Linked DNA regions of Saccharomyces cerevisiae S288C. The protein of the gene in region 1 purifies or fractionates together with the protein of each later gene. This does not show direct contact. Each region holds a gene or a part of one and is shown in the gene's direction. Other genes may lie near its edges.

Evidence for each region.
Region 2: the proteins of SOL2 (region 1) and ADE16 purify together in Saccharomyces cerevisiae (affinity purification with mass spectrometry; 2 studies listed by BioGRID). This does not show direct contact.

The regions. Positions count from the first base shown.
Region 1 is NC_001135.5:240,433-248,536, forward strand, and holds SOL2 (Sol2p), read left to right. Parts: upstream 1-6,530; coding exon 6,531-7,478; downstream 7,479-8,104. Other genes in the region: mitochondrial 54S ribosomal protein mL49 IMG2, read right to left, coding at 1-111; RSA4 (Rsa4p), read right to left, coding at 373-1,920; mitogen-activated protein kinase kinase kinase SSK22, read right to left, coding at 2,156-6,151; cystinosin-like protein ERS1, read right to left, coding at 7,601-8,104. UniProt on the Saccharomyces cerevisiae protein: May be involved in regulation of tRNA subcellular distribution.
Region 2 is NC_001144.5:196,649-203,219, reverse strand, and holds ADE16 (bifunctional phosphoribosylaminoimidazolecarboxamide formyltransferase/IMP cyclohydrolase ADE16), read left to right. Parts: upstream 1-1,904; coding exon 1,905-3,680; downstream 3,681-6,571. Other genes in the region: 60S ribosomal protein eL15 RPL15A, read left to right, coding at 630-1,244; aspartate transaminase AAT2, read left to right, coding at 5,135-6,391.

The DNA.
Region 1 (8,104 bases):
TTTATTTGAATTAGTGGATATACATCTTATCGTTTGGTATATCGAGGCAGTGGCAGGCCCTGGAAGGCATTTACCCCTACCAAAACATCTAGTAACACACGAACTGATCATAGTTTTGCTCACACGCTACCTTGGAGTAAGTTGCTTTAGGTAAACGGGCACTTCTTTCAAAAGGTTTTCCTTCTTGCTGGAGCTATACTGCTTATAGTACCATATTTTAAATTCATACCAAGCCATTCGTACGCGATGACCATTATAGATCGACCTTGCGACACCATCATATTTAATATTCAAAAAGAAAAAAATGCAGTTCTATATCACAGTTATATAATATTTATATGTGCATGTATGTTACTTGTCTTTGCACATAACTCAATGCGTCCACAATCTTACCATCTTGTCTTTCCCACCACTACACACTCTTTTACCGTCGACACTCCAGTCGACGGTATAAACTTCGTCTTTATGACCAGGGAGGTCAACAGAAAGTTTTCTAGTTCTTACATCCCACACTTTCAACGTGGTATCTTTGGAACATGACACCAGTAGTCGGCAGTCCGATGACCACGCAACCTGGTATACGCTGGCTACATGCCCTCTAAATGTGGAGATAAACTTACCATCTCTACCGTCCCAAAGTTTGATAGAGTTATCAAAAGACGCTGAGACAATATACCTACCATCAGGGCTGAACGCCACATGATTGACTAATTTTTGGTGACCGGTCATTCTTGCTATAGGCTTGGTAGATTTTAGTGGGTTCCATAAAAACATGGTATAATCATCGCTTGCAGTAACCATCATTTCTTCTGAATTTCCATTCTTTTTACAGATTTTTTCATAATTTTCCAATGCCTTTTTCTGGGCTTCTTCTGGTGTAGAAGGCTTCTTACCTGTATGATCGAATGCACCAATGCGCAATGCGTAATCTGTAGATAAAGATAAGTGATTAACCCAGTGCGCATGCGACTTCAAAATGTTGATACATCTGCCCTGCGAATTGATGTCCCATACACGTACGGTTCTATCGTGAGAGCCACTATACAATAGACCTTGGCCGCCCCATTTGACACAAGACACTGAATTTGTGTGACCACTCATCGTATACTGGCAAACTCTGCTCACAGTGTCCCAAATCTTAATAGTACCATCCTTAGAAGATGAAGCTAATCTTGGTTTGGAGCCCGGCTTCACAAGATGTATAGGTTCCCAACTTAAAGAAGTGATCCACTTGGAATGACCTCTGAGAGCATCACCTAGACACTGACCGCTTTTTGGGTCCCATAATCTTATGGTATTGTCCATGGATCCCGTAGCAATTACTTCTCCATCGGGGGACCAGGAAACGCAGAGAACCCAATTGTAGTGACCCTTTAGAGTATGCATTGGCGTTTGGGTGTCACAGTCCCAAATCCTTGCAGTATTATCACCTGCACCGGTTACCATCCTAGAACTCGTATGTGGTGCGAAGGCAGAACACAAAATTGTGGAACCGTGACCTGCAATGGCTGATGAACTTCTAGTTACCGGCTTGACTTTGAAAACTGCTCTTGGCGTATACAGTAGCGTGATCTGATCTTCTGTACTGTTATAGCCTGGTTTTATTAATGAAGAATATAGGTTATCTGTTATATCAATCGTCTTCACAGGGTCACTGGCCTTCTTACCTTGAATTGTACAGCTGAAGGTATATGGCACTGGATCGTCTGAAGTACCGTTCAATTGATTTAAAAGTTCTTCTAACTGTTTCTCGGAGATAGCACCGGGAACTCTCAGGGCGCCACCTACATTGTCACCAGTATCTAAAGCTTGGAACTTGATTGAAACATTGGGTAAATCTTTCGGAATAATAGCTACTTCTCTGGGAAGTTGAGCCTCTTTCTTTTGTTTCTTAGAAGGTGGAGGAATCAGGGTGGACATCTGTATATTGTGTTAGTGTGTGTTTATCGAGGTTACAAATATAAAAATCTTGTGATATATGTCTTTTAAAGATACTCTTTTTGAAGCTCATCGCATTTTTTTTTTTTTTTTCATTTTAAAATTTTTCACCGGTTTCTCGGGTAACAGCTCTAAATGAAATCTTGCCTTCATCACCATTATTGAATTACATTACATTATATATCGTAGTATATCATATTTTTAGACGTTGACCACTCTATGAGCTTAGGATAGGTACTTGATCTTTCTCTGAGTTGCCAAATGCTATTTCACGGATTTGTATCATCCAAGGGTCTATCAGTAGTTCCACAGCAGTAGCCCTCATAGTGGGGTCTTGAACCAAACACCTTTCCAAGAAGGCTCTTCCCGCTGCAGTCATTTCGTCTCTATTGGGTAGTTGCGGTATTCGACCTGCAGCAACGTGGTACATGATGGCCCATTCATTATCCAAGTTAGACCAAGGTCGTCTACCTGTGGCCATTTCTAGCACAACACATCCTAATGCCCATACATCGTCCGCTCCAAGTTTTCCCTTAACTGCCGAGCCTGAAATAGTCTCTGGAGCCATATACATCGGTGTCCCCATCATTTCATTGAGGGACTTTGTTTCTACTCCAAAATCTTGAACGGCTGCGTTCCGCACAGTTCTAGTCCTAGATCCTACAACGGTACGTGCCGTACCAAAATCCACATATTTTATGATTCCATTGAAATCCAGCAAGATATTCTCCGGTTTAATGTCGCGATGCACCACGCCAGATTGGTGCAAATATGCCAAACCTTCTAATAGTTCGAATGTGTACACTTGTGTTACCATTTCATCTTCAATTCTTCCATGATCCAATAACGAGGCTAAAGAACCACCCTCACAGTATTCCATGAAGATGTTAACTTTATCGCGATGTACTTCGACACCATAGTACTGGACAATATTAGGATGGTTTAACATTTCCAATACGGTCATCTCTTCTTTAATCAGGGGAAAAATCTTCTTCATTGTTGTGGTATCGTGTATCTTTATTTCCTTAACAGCTAAGATTTCACCGTTTTCCAGATTAATTGCAGAGTATACCTGTCCAAATGTTCCACCGCCAATGAAGCTTCTTTTTTGCCACCTCATTGATACATTCGATAATGAGGATGCTAGCGATAGTAGGTATTTGTTTCCCTGATCTGTAGCATCCAATACCTTACCCATTTGCCTGGGATTCCTCTTCATAGTCTTTTCCAACGTCTTTATAGCTTCCAGTCTCAACCTGCTGTTTATTTCTAGGGTGGCCTCTTCATCAATATTCTCTTCAGTATCAATATTCAATCTTGCCTGTTGCATGCCATTTTCAGCTTCAGTGGCTCGTGCACCCATAACGTCGAAATGTGAAATTAATAATGACATACATACTGATACCCTCTCCTTCAGTTCTTGAAATTGCTTTACATTCAGCGCCAGGATATTATAACCACTAGTCATCTGCATCGCAAAATCCATTGCAAGAACGCACCATCGGAAAGTTCGCTGATCGGTAGGATCACACTCTTCAACAAGGAATTTCAACCAGTTCATTCCTAATTTAACCATCAGAAAGATGATAACGTACTTCCTCTTTGAGCTAAAGGCGTTATATTTAAGGAAACTTCTTCCAAAATCCCTTCCAAACATGAATATCGAATTTAACAACTCATTTCCCGGACATTGCTTCATAAAGCTACCTAGAATTCCTTTGTAGTTGTTCAATACTGTATAAGTAAGTTTGTAATATGCCTTATTGATTTTTTGTAGGGAGGATTCAATTGAATTGAGTGAACAACGTTTCTCTATGAATGAAACAGAATCACCTACCGTTTGATTAAACTTGTCGATTTGATAAGTCAGTGCATAATTAGAACCTTGATTGAGTAAAATCAACGTATTTGGGTTACCAATTTTCCCTAAATCCATTTCGTTGGATGCAAAAAGGTTGTTACCTGGAAGCTTATATACTGGTCCATCCCAAACTACTGGCTCTCCAGGATATAGTACAACTAGTGCACCCAATGAGCTCAAAGCAACTTCCAATTCAAAAACTTCATTGTTCTTTTCATCAAGGTGCTGATCAAAAGGGTCTGTTGAAAAATTCTTCTTTTTGGACTGATGAGCATGCCTGTCCAAATCACTTGACGAATTTGCTACTACTCGGTAGTAAGGAATTCCTTTGGAATCCTCCCCTTTCGATACTAGAATGTTCAAATCTGTTTCTTTTGTTGTTATATCATACACATTCAAATTATTTCCAATGTCAAGCTTTGGGACCAAATCACAGCCAATGGATTTATTTCGCAAAATTCTTAAGATGGTATCATTGTCACAACCTAATAATTCAGGAGCAGCAAACATATATACACCACTAGACTCAAAAGTGTTACCGGAGTATACCAAAAAATAGTGAGCATCTTTTAACTTTTTAACAAGTTGTGCATTATGATTAATCTGATAAACAGCAGAATTTTGGAACGCCTTGACTAGAATATTGCTGAACCTGTTCAGCTTTCTTTTCATGGCACCCAAATTTTCGAAAATGGAACTTAGCCATTTTTCTGCTTCTGAAGCGTTAGCAAATGTTGGTGGGAAGTTTTGTTGTTTCAAAAGATAGAATTGCAATTTATGTACGAGTCTCAAAGTTAACTTGAGAAATTCATTTGGAATCACGGTTTCTGCACCGTTAATATAGTGACCGGTGTTTTTTAGGTGATCCCAGTATTTCAAGAGTAGATCGGGTGCTTTGAAATTTTGTTTACTGGAATCAATCAACTTTAAATTCAACAGAAAAAATAAATAACGAATGGCTTCTATTACAGTATTTTCGAACGTCGGGTCAAAATCCACATCGAACGGCAAATTGGAGCAATATTTTGTCAGTGTGTACTTCAATTGCACAGAAAGTCGAATAAAAGCGTTAAAATCATCGATCATTTGATCGATCATCATCATTGTTGGATTTTTAAGCTTTCGTGCATATGACAATCTAGTCAAAATAACTTCTTTGATTAAATAGACGGGGAACGCCAGTAGTGATCTTAACCTTTCATAAGGATATTTTATGTTCATCTTTGTCAAAGTTTCTCTGTAGACTATAAAATGTAGTTTCAGTTTGAACATCCAAGGTGATAGCGGATAGAAAATTTTTTTTTGGAATATAGACTCGATGTTCTTTTCCTTCATCAATTGTTCTGCAAGAATCTTCATTTTGCAGTTCCATTGGGGCACACCATCAAAATCCTCTTGGCAATTATCCGAACTACTTATCGGTGAGAAACGGTTTATCCAGTCGTCCAACTCTTGCCTCCTCAACGTTAAGTTCGTTTTAAAGTTCAGCCAAGAATTCATTACGTCTATTCTAGCGGTAAATTCTGCAGTATTGGTGATTGGTTTATCCTTATACATTTTTTTCAAGTTAGGCCAATAAGAGACAACGCTGTGATATCTGTTCATGAGGTCTTGTAAGATGGCCTCCAGTGCATCCAGGCTCAATATCTTGCCCTGTGGAATTTGAAACTTCATTATCTCTTCAAAAACGGAATCTGAACTATCTCTTAAATATGTAAGCGACTGTTCCATCTCTTGCATGGTCCTCCCATTCAGCCATGCCTTCAATTCGAGCCATATCTCATCTGAGAGCTCCTTATTTAACCCTGGTTTCTTGACTTGGTTAGCAATCCTCGTCTTTTCACCTTTAACAATATCTCCCTTCAGCACTCTGGCCAGCATTGACTGCCATTTGAACCGTTCGGTCGCAATTTCATTCCAAGCTAGTTCATCACTGTCTGACCTCATTTTCCTGCAATAAGGTGTAGTGGAGAAAAACTTGACACCTGAGTGCAGGTCTTCATCAATTCTGTCGCCATTAGACAACCGAATAATTTCGTCATCACCGTCGTCTTCCTCGTAGCGGTTAGTGAGTTTTATGCCCCTCGTGTAGTAGTCATCTAAAGCGGTCTTTTTTAGCTTTTTCAAGTATAGCGATTCATTGAAAACGTATCGGTCCTTAAAAGTCAGCTGACTGGGGCCGTCGCTTATTGTTTCCGAGCCACCCAATGCTTTCAAATCAGATCTTGATAGTTTATGGCTGGAATGACTTGATAATCTCTTCACGAGCTTACTTGAGATGGTATGAGGAGCCAGAACTCTCCCGCCTTCAGCCGCTTTTTGTTGCTGTGTATTCAGTATATCCATCATCATTTTCACCTACAAGGAACTACCTTTTATAGCCACCCTAAGTAAAACAACATTAGCTTAGCATCCTCAATTCTTATCGTATGTTGTTGCTGCTATTTTTATCCTATTGTTCCTGGCATCGCTTTTTTACATAAGGTACCAAGGCAAGAGAAAAGACCCGCGAAATTTTCAATTCGAGACATAGGGTTAATACGAAATATGTTAAGGTCTAGTTTCCAAAAAATGAAGAAAATGTGATTAGACATCCTGGGGAAATTAGGTTTAAATAGGGCGGGCGCTACAGGGGTTTTCCTAACAAATTTCAATGATAATAGTGGCATCATCATCGTCATATCCAGTGTAGGTATGGACTAGAACAGAAAGCAATTTGCAGCAAGACAATATGACTACGACGGTACCCAAGATATTCGCGTTTCACGAGTTTTCAGACGTGGCAGAGGCCGTAGCTGACCATGTAGTCCACGCGCAAGACGGTGCATTGGCTCCAAAGAACGAGAGGAAACACTCTGTTCCCAACATCAGCATGAATGCACTGGATATGACGAGAGAGGCCTCTTGCAAAAGCACAGCATCTGCCGCGGAAGGGAAAAGTGGTAGCAGTGGTAGTGGCAGTGGTAGCAGTAAGCCCAAAAAGGAGAAACGGTTCAAGATTGCTCTCTCCGGTGGGTCATTGATCGAAGTGCTACACGAAGGTCTGCTAAAACGAGACGATGTACGGTGGGGAGACTGGGACATTTACTTTGCAGACGAGAGACTTGTACCCTTCAGCTCGAATGAAAGCAATTATGGATGCGCCAAAAGGAAGATTTTGGACCTGATAGACACGGCGAAGTATGGAACTCCGAAGGTGTACCACATTGACGAGTCATTGATTGACGACCCGCAAGAATGCGCTGATAACTATGAAAAGGTGCTAATCCGCGGGTTTGCCGGTAGAGATTCCGTCAAACTTCCGATGTTCGACTTGTTCCTGCTTGGTTGTGCCCCCGATGGTCATATCGCATCACTCTTCCCTAACTTCCAGGACAATCTACGTGAGAAACTTGCATGGGTGGTGCCCGTGGAGAACGCTCCTAGTGGGCCCTCGACCAGAATTTCGCTGACTATACCTGTAATCTGCCATTCTCACAGGGTTACTTTCGTTGTCGAAGGTGCAACCAAGGCGCCCATCATCAAGACCATTATGGAAAGGCCTGAAAAGGGCCTACCTAGCAGTATTGTCAACGAAGGTGCTGCTGGTCGTGTATCATGGTTTGTTGACGACGATGCTCTTACGGACGTCCTCGTCACCAAAAAAAAGTATAAATTCCACCAAGGTTTGTCTATTTAAACCATGCATGTGTGTACATACATACATACACACATACATACATACATACATATATTTATGTATATTTATGTATATATATATATATATATATATGCGTAATTATGCAGATTTCTCCTTGTGTGCTACAGCGGGTACTCTGACGCCAGATCATGGCCTCGAGATCGATATACAAACCACTGCATGATAAAGATGAAGTTGAATATTAAAGTTACCATTGACAGTCCCACTTTTCCAAAATTTGTCACGAACGTATCCAGACTGAAACCTTGATCGTTAGACAACTGCCAAATCAATTGGAGCAGCGAGGCGATACCGCCAGTGACATCTAGAAACACACCCTGAATGGGGAAACAATCCATAGATTTTCTTGTCGAGTTATGCGTCACTTGTGGGATGTACTTGATTAGTGACATCGATATTTTGAGTAAAAACAAATTGTTGCAATACGCCAGAGTTCTTGAGTTATGCCAATCGTACCAGTAGTTGGAGTACATAAATTGTACGGTTAGCAGTGAAAAAATGGCCAGTGATGCGAGTAAAATCCTTAGGTACCATGGATTCATCTTGCGGTGACCTTTACCTGGAAATCGCCAGATTCTCGCTCCAGCTACCACCTGGGTCAATAA
Region 2 (6,571 bases), on another chromosome or scaffold:
TAATTTGTATTCAAGATATTCTTATCAAAGCACTTATTTTTTCATTATATTTCTATATTGATTTAAGGACGGTACGCTATTTTCTTTGTACCTTTTACTATGCATAAAAAAAGGGGAAGTGTTTAACAATCGACACTTACTTAATATGTTTTGCCGCCCTTCATAAGAGGGTGTTTCTAAAATTTATTGGGCAAGAATGAGATGGACTCGCACCCTACATGACGTTTAAATATTTAGTGTTAAGGTTCAGAACATGCACCAGGTGCGACATGTGTTGCGATTATCATGACAATGTCTCTATCCGAGATGCATTTGTAGTATCAATTGATGCGTATTATGACATGATTTACATAGCATACATCGTCAAACATGATATTATATTCTTTTTTTGATAAATGTACGGATTTAAAGCTGTCGAATATATTTTCTGAAATTTCTTGGAGCTGACGCAAAATTTTCAAAGGTGCTAAAATTTTTCAAGATTTCTCACTTTTGCTTGGTAACAAAGAATGATGGCATTGCATTTTTACCACCGGTACATTTAACTGCTATTTCTCACGTTTCTTTCCCTATCCTTAAGTAATTCTTTTACAATCTAAGAAAACCACGATCAAACAAATAAATCAGCAATGGGTGCCTACAAATATTTGGAAGAATTGCAAAGAAAGAAGCAATCTGATGTTTTGAGATTCTTGCAAAGAGTCAGAGTCTGGGAATACAGACAAAAGAATGTCATTCACAGAGCCGCTAGACCAACTAGACCAGACAAGGCTAGAAGATTGGGTTACAAAGCTAAGCAAGGTTTCGTTATCTACCGTGTCAGAGTTAGACGTGGTAACAGAAAGAGACCTGTTCCAAAGGGTGCTACTTACGGTAAGCCAACTAACCAAGGTGTCAATGAATTGAAATACCAAAGATCCTTGAGAGCTACCGCTGAAGAAAGAGTTGGTCGTCGTGCCGCTAACTTGAGAGTCTTGAACTCCTACTGGGTTAACCAAGATTCTACTTACAAGTACTTCGAAGTTATCTTGGTCGACCCTCAACACAAGGCTATCAGAAGAGATGCTCGTTACAACTGGATCTGTGACCCAGTTCACAAGCACCGTGAAGCTAGAGGTTTGACTGCCACTGGTAAGAAATCCAGAGGTATCAACAAGGGTCACAAATTCAACAACACCAAGGCTGGTAGAAGAAAGACCTGGAAGAGACAAAACACTTTGTCCTTGTGGAGATACAGAAAATAAGCTGGTTGATGGAAAATATAATTTTATTGGGCAAACTTTTGTTTATCTGATGTGTTTTATACTATTATCTTTTTAATTAATGATTCTATATACAAACCTGTATATTTTTTCTTTAACCAATTTTTTTTTTTATAGACCTAGAGCTGTACTTTTATTCTGCTATCAAGCAAACCCCTACCCCCTCTTCTCAATCCTCCCCTCAGGCAGAACTTATCTACCTGTATCAAGGAGCGGACGAGGGAGTCCTAATTGTTCTACGTATACCAATGCTAGCAGCTTACATAGGTGGTGGCACTACCATAATACTTATATATAATATCTTTACGCTCAAGTAAATTTCTCCGCCGCATAAATTAACACCATGTTCTTTTTAGTCGCACCTTATTTTCTTGTATTTTTTTTCTTTCCTTTTCTTCCCGTTTTTCCTTATTAGAGCCATTAGATAAAACTCAAGAAAAGCAAAAGAGAGGGCTATTTCCACTTTAAGAATAAGCCTTAATAATTGGCAAATAGATCGTCCTTTTTTCCAGTTTTCAGCATTTGTGTTTTTTTCTTGCTCTTTTTAGCGATTAGATAACATTCAAGATCTAATCAATACCCCATTCCAAACAAAGAATCCAAATATACCATAAATAGGGACAAAAAACAAAAGAGCTAAAAATGGGCAAATATACCAAGACTGCGATCTTGTCAGTTTATGATAAGACAGGTTTATTAGACTTAGCCAAGGGATTGGTAGAGAACAATGTTCGTATCCTAGCATCCGGTGGTACGGCCAACATGGTCAGAGAAGCTGGTTTTCCGGTCGACGATGTTTCTTCAATTACGCATGCACCAGAAATGCTAGGGGGTAGAGTCAAGACTCTTCACCCTGCTGTGCATGCAGGTATTCTTGCCAGAAATTTAGAGGGCGATGAAAAAGATTTAAAAGAGCAGCACATTGATAAGGTGGATTTTGTTGTATGTAATCTATATCCGTTCAAAGAAACTGTGGCTAAAATTGGTGTTACAGTTCAAGAAGCTGTAGAGGAGATCGACATTGGCGGTGTGACTTTGTTGAGAGCAGCCGCAAAGAACCATTCCAGAGTGACTATTCTTTCAGACCCTAATGACTATTCTATCTTTCTGCAAGACCTGTCTAAGGACGGTGAAATTTCTCAGGATTTAAGAAATAGATTTGCACTTAAGGCGTTTGAACATACGGCCGATTATGATGCGGCCATTTCTGACTTTTTCAGGAAACAGTACTCCGAAGGGAAAGCCCAATTACCGCTAAGATATGGTTGTAATCCCCACCAAAGACCTGCACAAGCTTATATCACTCAGCAGGAGGAGTTGCCCTTCAAAGTGCTCTGCGGTACACCAGGATATATAAATCTTTTGGATGCCTTGAACTCATGGCCCTTAGTGAAAGAGTTATCTGCATCATTGAACTTGCCTGCGGCAGCATCGTTCAAGCACGTTTCTCCAGCAGGTGCTGCTGTGGGACTTCCATTATCCGATGTGGAAAGACAAGTTTATTTTGTGAATGATATGGAGGATTTATCACCATTGGCATGCGCATACGCTAGGGCCCGTGGTGCAGATAGGATGTCATCCTTTGGTGATTTCATTGCATTGTCCAATATTGTAGATGTCGCCACTGCAAAAATCATCTCTAAAGAAGTTTCCGATGGTGTTATTGCTCCAGGGTATGAACCAGAGGCATTGAATATACTATCTAAGAAGAAAAACGGAAAATACTGTATTTTACAAATCGATCCAAACTATGTTCCTGGCCAAATGGAATCCCGAGAGGTTTTTGGCGTAACGTTACAACAAAAGAGAAACGATGCGATCATAAACCAATCCACTTTCAAAGAAATTGTCTCCAAAAACAAAGCACTTACCGAGCAAGCCGTTATCGATCTAACTGTTGCTACGCTGGTTTTAAAATACACACAATCAAATTCTGTTTGCTACGCAAAGAATGGTATGGTTGTGGGGCTTGGGGCCGGCCAACAATCGCGTATACACTGTACCAGATTAGCTGGTGACAAGACGGACAACTGGTGGTTGAGACAACATCCAAAGGTTTTGAACATGAAGTGGGCCAAGGGAATTAAGAGAGCGGACAAGTCGAATGCGATTGATCTTTTTGTTACAGGGCAAAGAATAGAAGGCCCGGAAAAGGTGGATTACGAAAGCAAATTTGAAGAAGTCCCTGAACCTTTCACCAAAGAAGAAAGACTAGAATGGTTAAGCAAATTAAACAATGTATCGTTATCATCCGATGCGTTCTTTCCCTTCCCAGACAACGTTTATAGAGCTGTGCAGTCTGGTGTAAAGTTCATCACGGCTCCTTCGGGGTCTGTCATGGACAAAGTTGTCTTCCAAGCGGCGGATTCATTTGATATCGTCTACGTGGAGAACCCAATTCGTTTATTCCACCACTAAGTAGGGTACATTTTATGAGAAGAACAGAAACAACATATATAGCTGAATACAAGTGTATATACGTAAACGTATACGATTTACTTAATTTTCTACGTCAAAGGCCTTCCTCTTCTGCGAGAGGACAAGATGTGAATATGTGAATTATAGAGATGTCTGCAGTATGGTTTTACCCAAATGATCATGGACCAACTAGGGTCATTTCATAGTGTTTAGGAATATACTGCGGTAGGACGAACAACAAAGATGACCGAACTCAGATTTTCCCACTCTGCACCCACATCCCGCAATCTCTTCGTAATAAGGAGAAAGCTGGCCATAGGACAAAGTATAGGAAAAGAGCTCAAGATCATGCGTCCTACTTAATCTAAGTTAAACTCGTCAACGGGGCCACTTCTGTCTCATCCATATATATCATGGCAACAGCCCCCGAACCCCATATACACATCGTTAAGGCAACAGCACCCGATGCAACGACTAAGAGAAACTGCTCGTAGTCTGACGACTCAAAACTCTGATCACGAAGATCAGAGGAGAAGTCAGGAGCTGCATCTCTTATGTGATGCCGTTGTCCGAAGCGCCATCTAGATGAATACGTGAGGCCCATTGGAGGCTCCTTGAGACTCTGCCTCTCGAGCGTTGAAAAACGCTAGCCCAGTGTTTTAGAGAAGCTAAGCAGCAATAGCAAGAAATGCACACACACGTATGCGAGTGACTTCCCTTCCCTGTATAGTACCGAACTAGCACGAGACTATGGTTACTTTTTTTTTTACAAATAAGCAAAGAGAAACTTGAATGGGAAAAGAAGTTTACCATAGAAGTTAAATGCACGACGATGAGAGTTTCAAAGTGTTTATATAGGCGAGAGAATCTAAAGGAAAATTTTTCTTGAAATAAAAAAGCACTGTCAGGGTAACAATGTTAATAATAGCCGCTGATGGTTTAGGGTTACTACGCTAGAAGGACATAAAATCATTATTTACAAGAAACATACAAGGAGGCAATTTTTTAAACTCTCAATGTAGGATATTTCATTTAACTGCACTAGTGGCATCTATTATACACAATTACTCCAGTAGCTGCCACAAAGCACCCAAAGATAAGAATAATTACGGAAAATGAAATTTTTACTTTGAATATGATGATATGGGCATTGCAGGTTTGTAGTAAGAGCAATTTACAGGAATTCCTGACGGAATATTAATGTTTTCTTACTGTTTAATGCGATGTACATATTGTCAATACTAATGGTCACCACTGGAAATGGCTATCTTTCGTCTTCGTGAATAACGATCGCCGAGAGTCGGACCGAGTGAGTCAGCGTGATCGGCCTCATTTACCTTGTCGCCTTGCACGTCGGTATATAAACGTATGTGGATACTTTAAGAAGGGAAAGCGCAACCGTCCAAATTCTAATGAACAAAAGAACACAGGAATACAAGAACACAAGAGCGATAATGTCTGCCACTCTGTTCAATAACATCGAATTGCTGCCCCCTGATGCCCTTTTTGGTATTAAGCAAAGGTACGGGCAAGATCAACGTGCTACCAAGGTCGACTTGGGTATCGGGGCCTACAGAGACGACAACGGTAAACCATGGGTCTTGCCAAGTGTTAAAGCCGCCGAAAAGCTAATTCATAACGACAGCTCCTACAACCATGAATACCTCGGTATTACCGGTCTGCCAAGTTTGACATCTAACGCCGCCAAGATCATCTTCGGTACGCAATCCGATGCCTTTCAGGAAGACAGAGTAATCTCAGTACAATCACTGTCTGGTACGGGTGCTCTTCATATATCTGCGAAGTTTTTTTCAAAATTCTTCCCAGATAAACTGGTCTATTTGTCTAAGCCTACTTGGGCCAACCACATGGCCATTTTTGAGAATCAAGGCTTGAAAACGGCGACTTACCCTTACTGGGCCAACGAAACTAAGTCTTTGGACCTAAACGGCTTTCTAAATGCTATTCAAAAAGCTCCAGAGGGCTCCATTTTCGTTCTGCACTCTTGCGCCCATAACCCAACTGGTCTGGACCCTACTAGTGAACAATGGGTTCAAATCGTTGATGCTATCGCCTCAAAGAACCACATCGCCTTATTTGACACCGCCTACCAAGGGTTTGCCACTGGAGATTTGGACAAGGATGCCTATGCTGTGCGTCTAGGTGTGGAGAAGCTTTCAACGGTCTCTCCCGTCTTTGTCTGTCAGTCCTTTGCCAAGAACGCCGGTATGTACGGTGAGCGTGTAGGTTGTTTCCATCTAGCACTTACAAAACAAGCTCAAAACAAAACTATAAAGCCTGCTGTTACATCTCAATTGGCCAAAATCATTCGTAGTGAAGTGTCCAACCCACCCGCCTACGGCGCTAAGATTGTCGCTAAACTGTTGGAAACGCCAGAATTAACGGAACAGTGGCACAAGGATATGGTTACCATGTCCTCCAGAATTACGAAAATGAGGCACGCATTAAGAGACCATTTAGTCAAGTTGGGCACTCCTGGCAACTGGGATCATATAGTAAATCAATGCGGGATGTTCTCCTTTACAGGATTGACTCCTCAAATGGTTAAACGACTTGAAGAAACCCACGCAGTTTACTTGGTTGCCTCAGGTAGAGCTTCTATTGCTGGATTGAATCAAGGAAACGTGGAATACGTGGCTAAAGCCATTGATGAAGTGGTGCGCTTCTATACTATTGAAGCTAAATTGTAATGATTAAATAATACTTATACTTACCTATTACACTCTTCATATTTTTTTTAATGTAAAGAAAGTAAAAAAAAAAAAAAATAAAAAAAAGAGAAATGCTCTTTCTTTACCTTCACAGGTGTATTATTATGTTGTTGTAATATCCGGGTAGGTTTATTGATCGAGGCGAGGCGAAAGGGCATA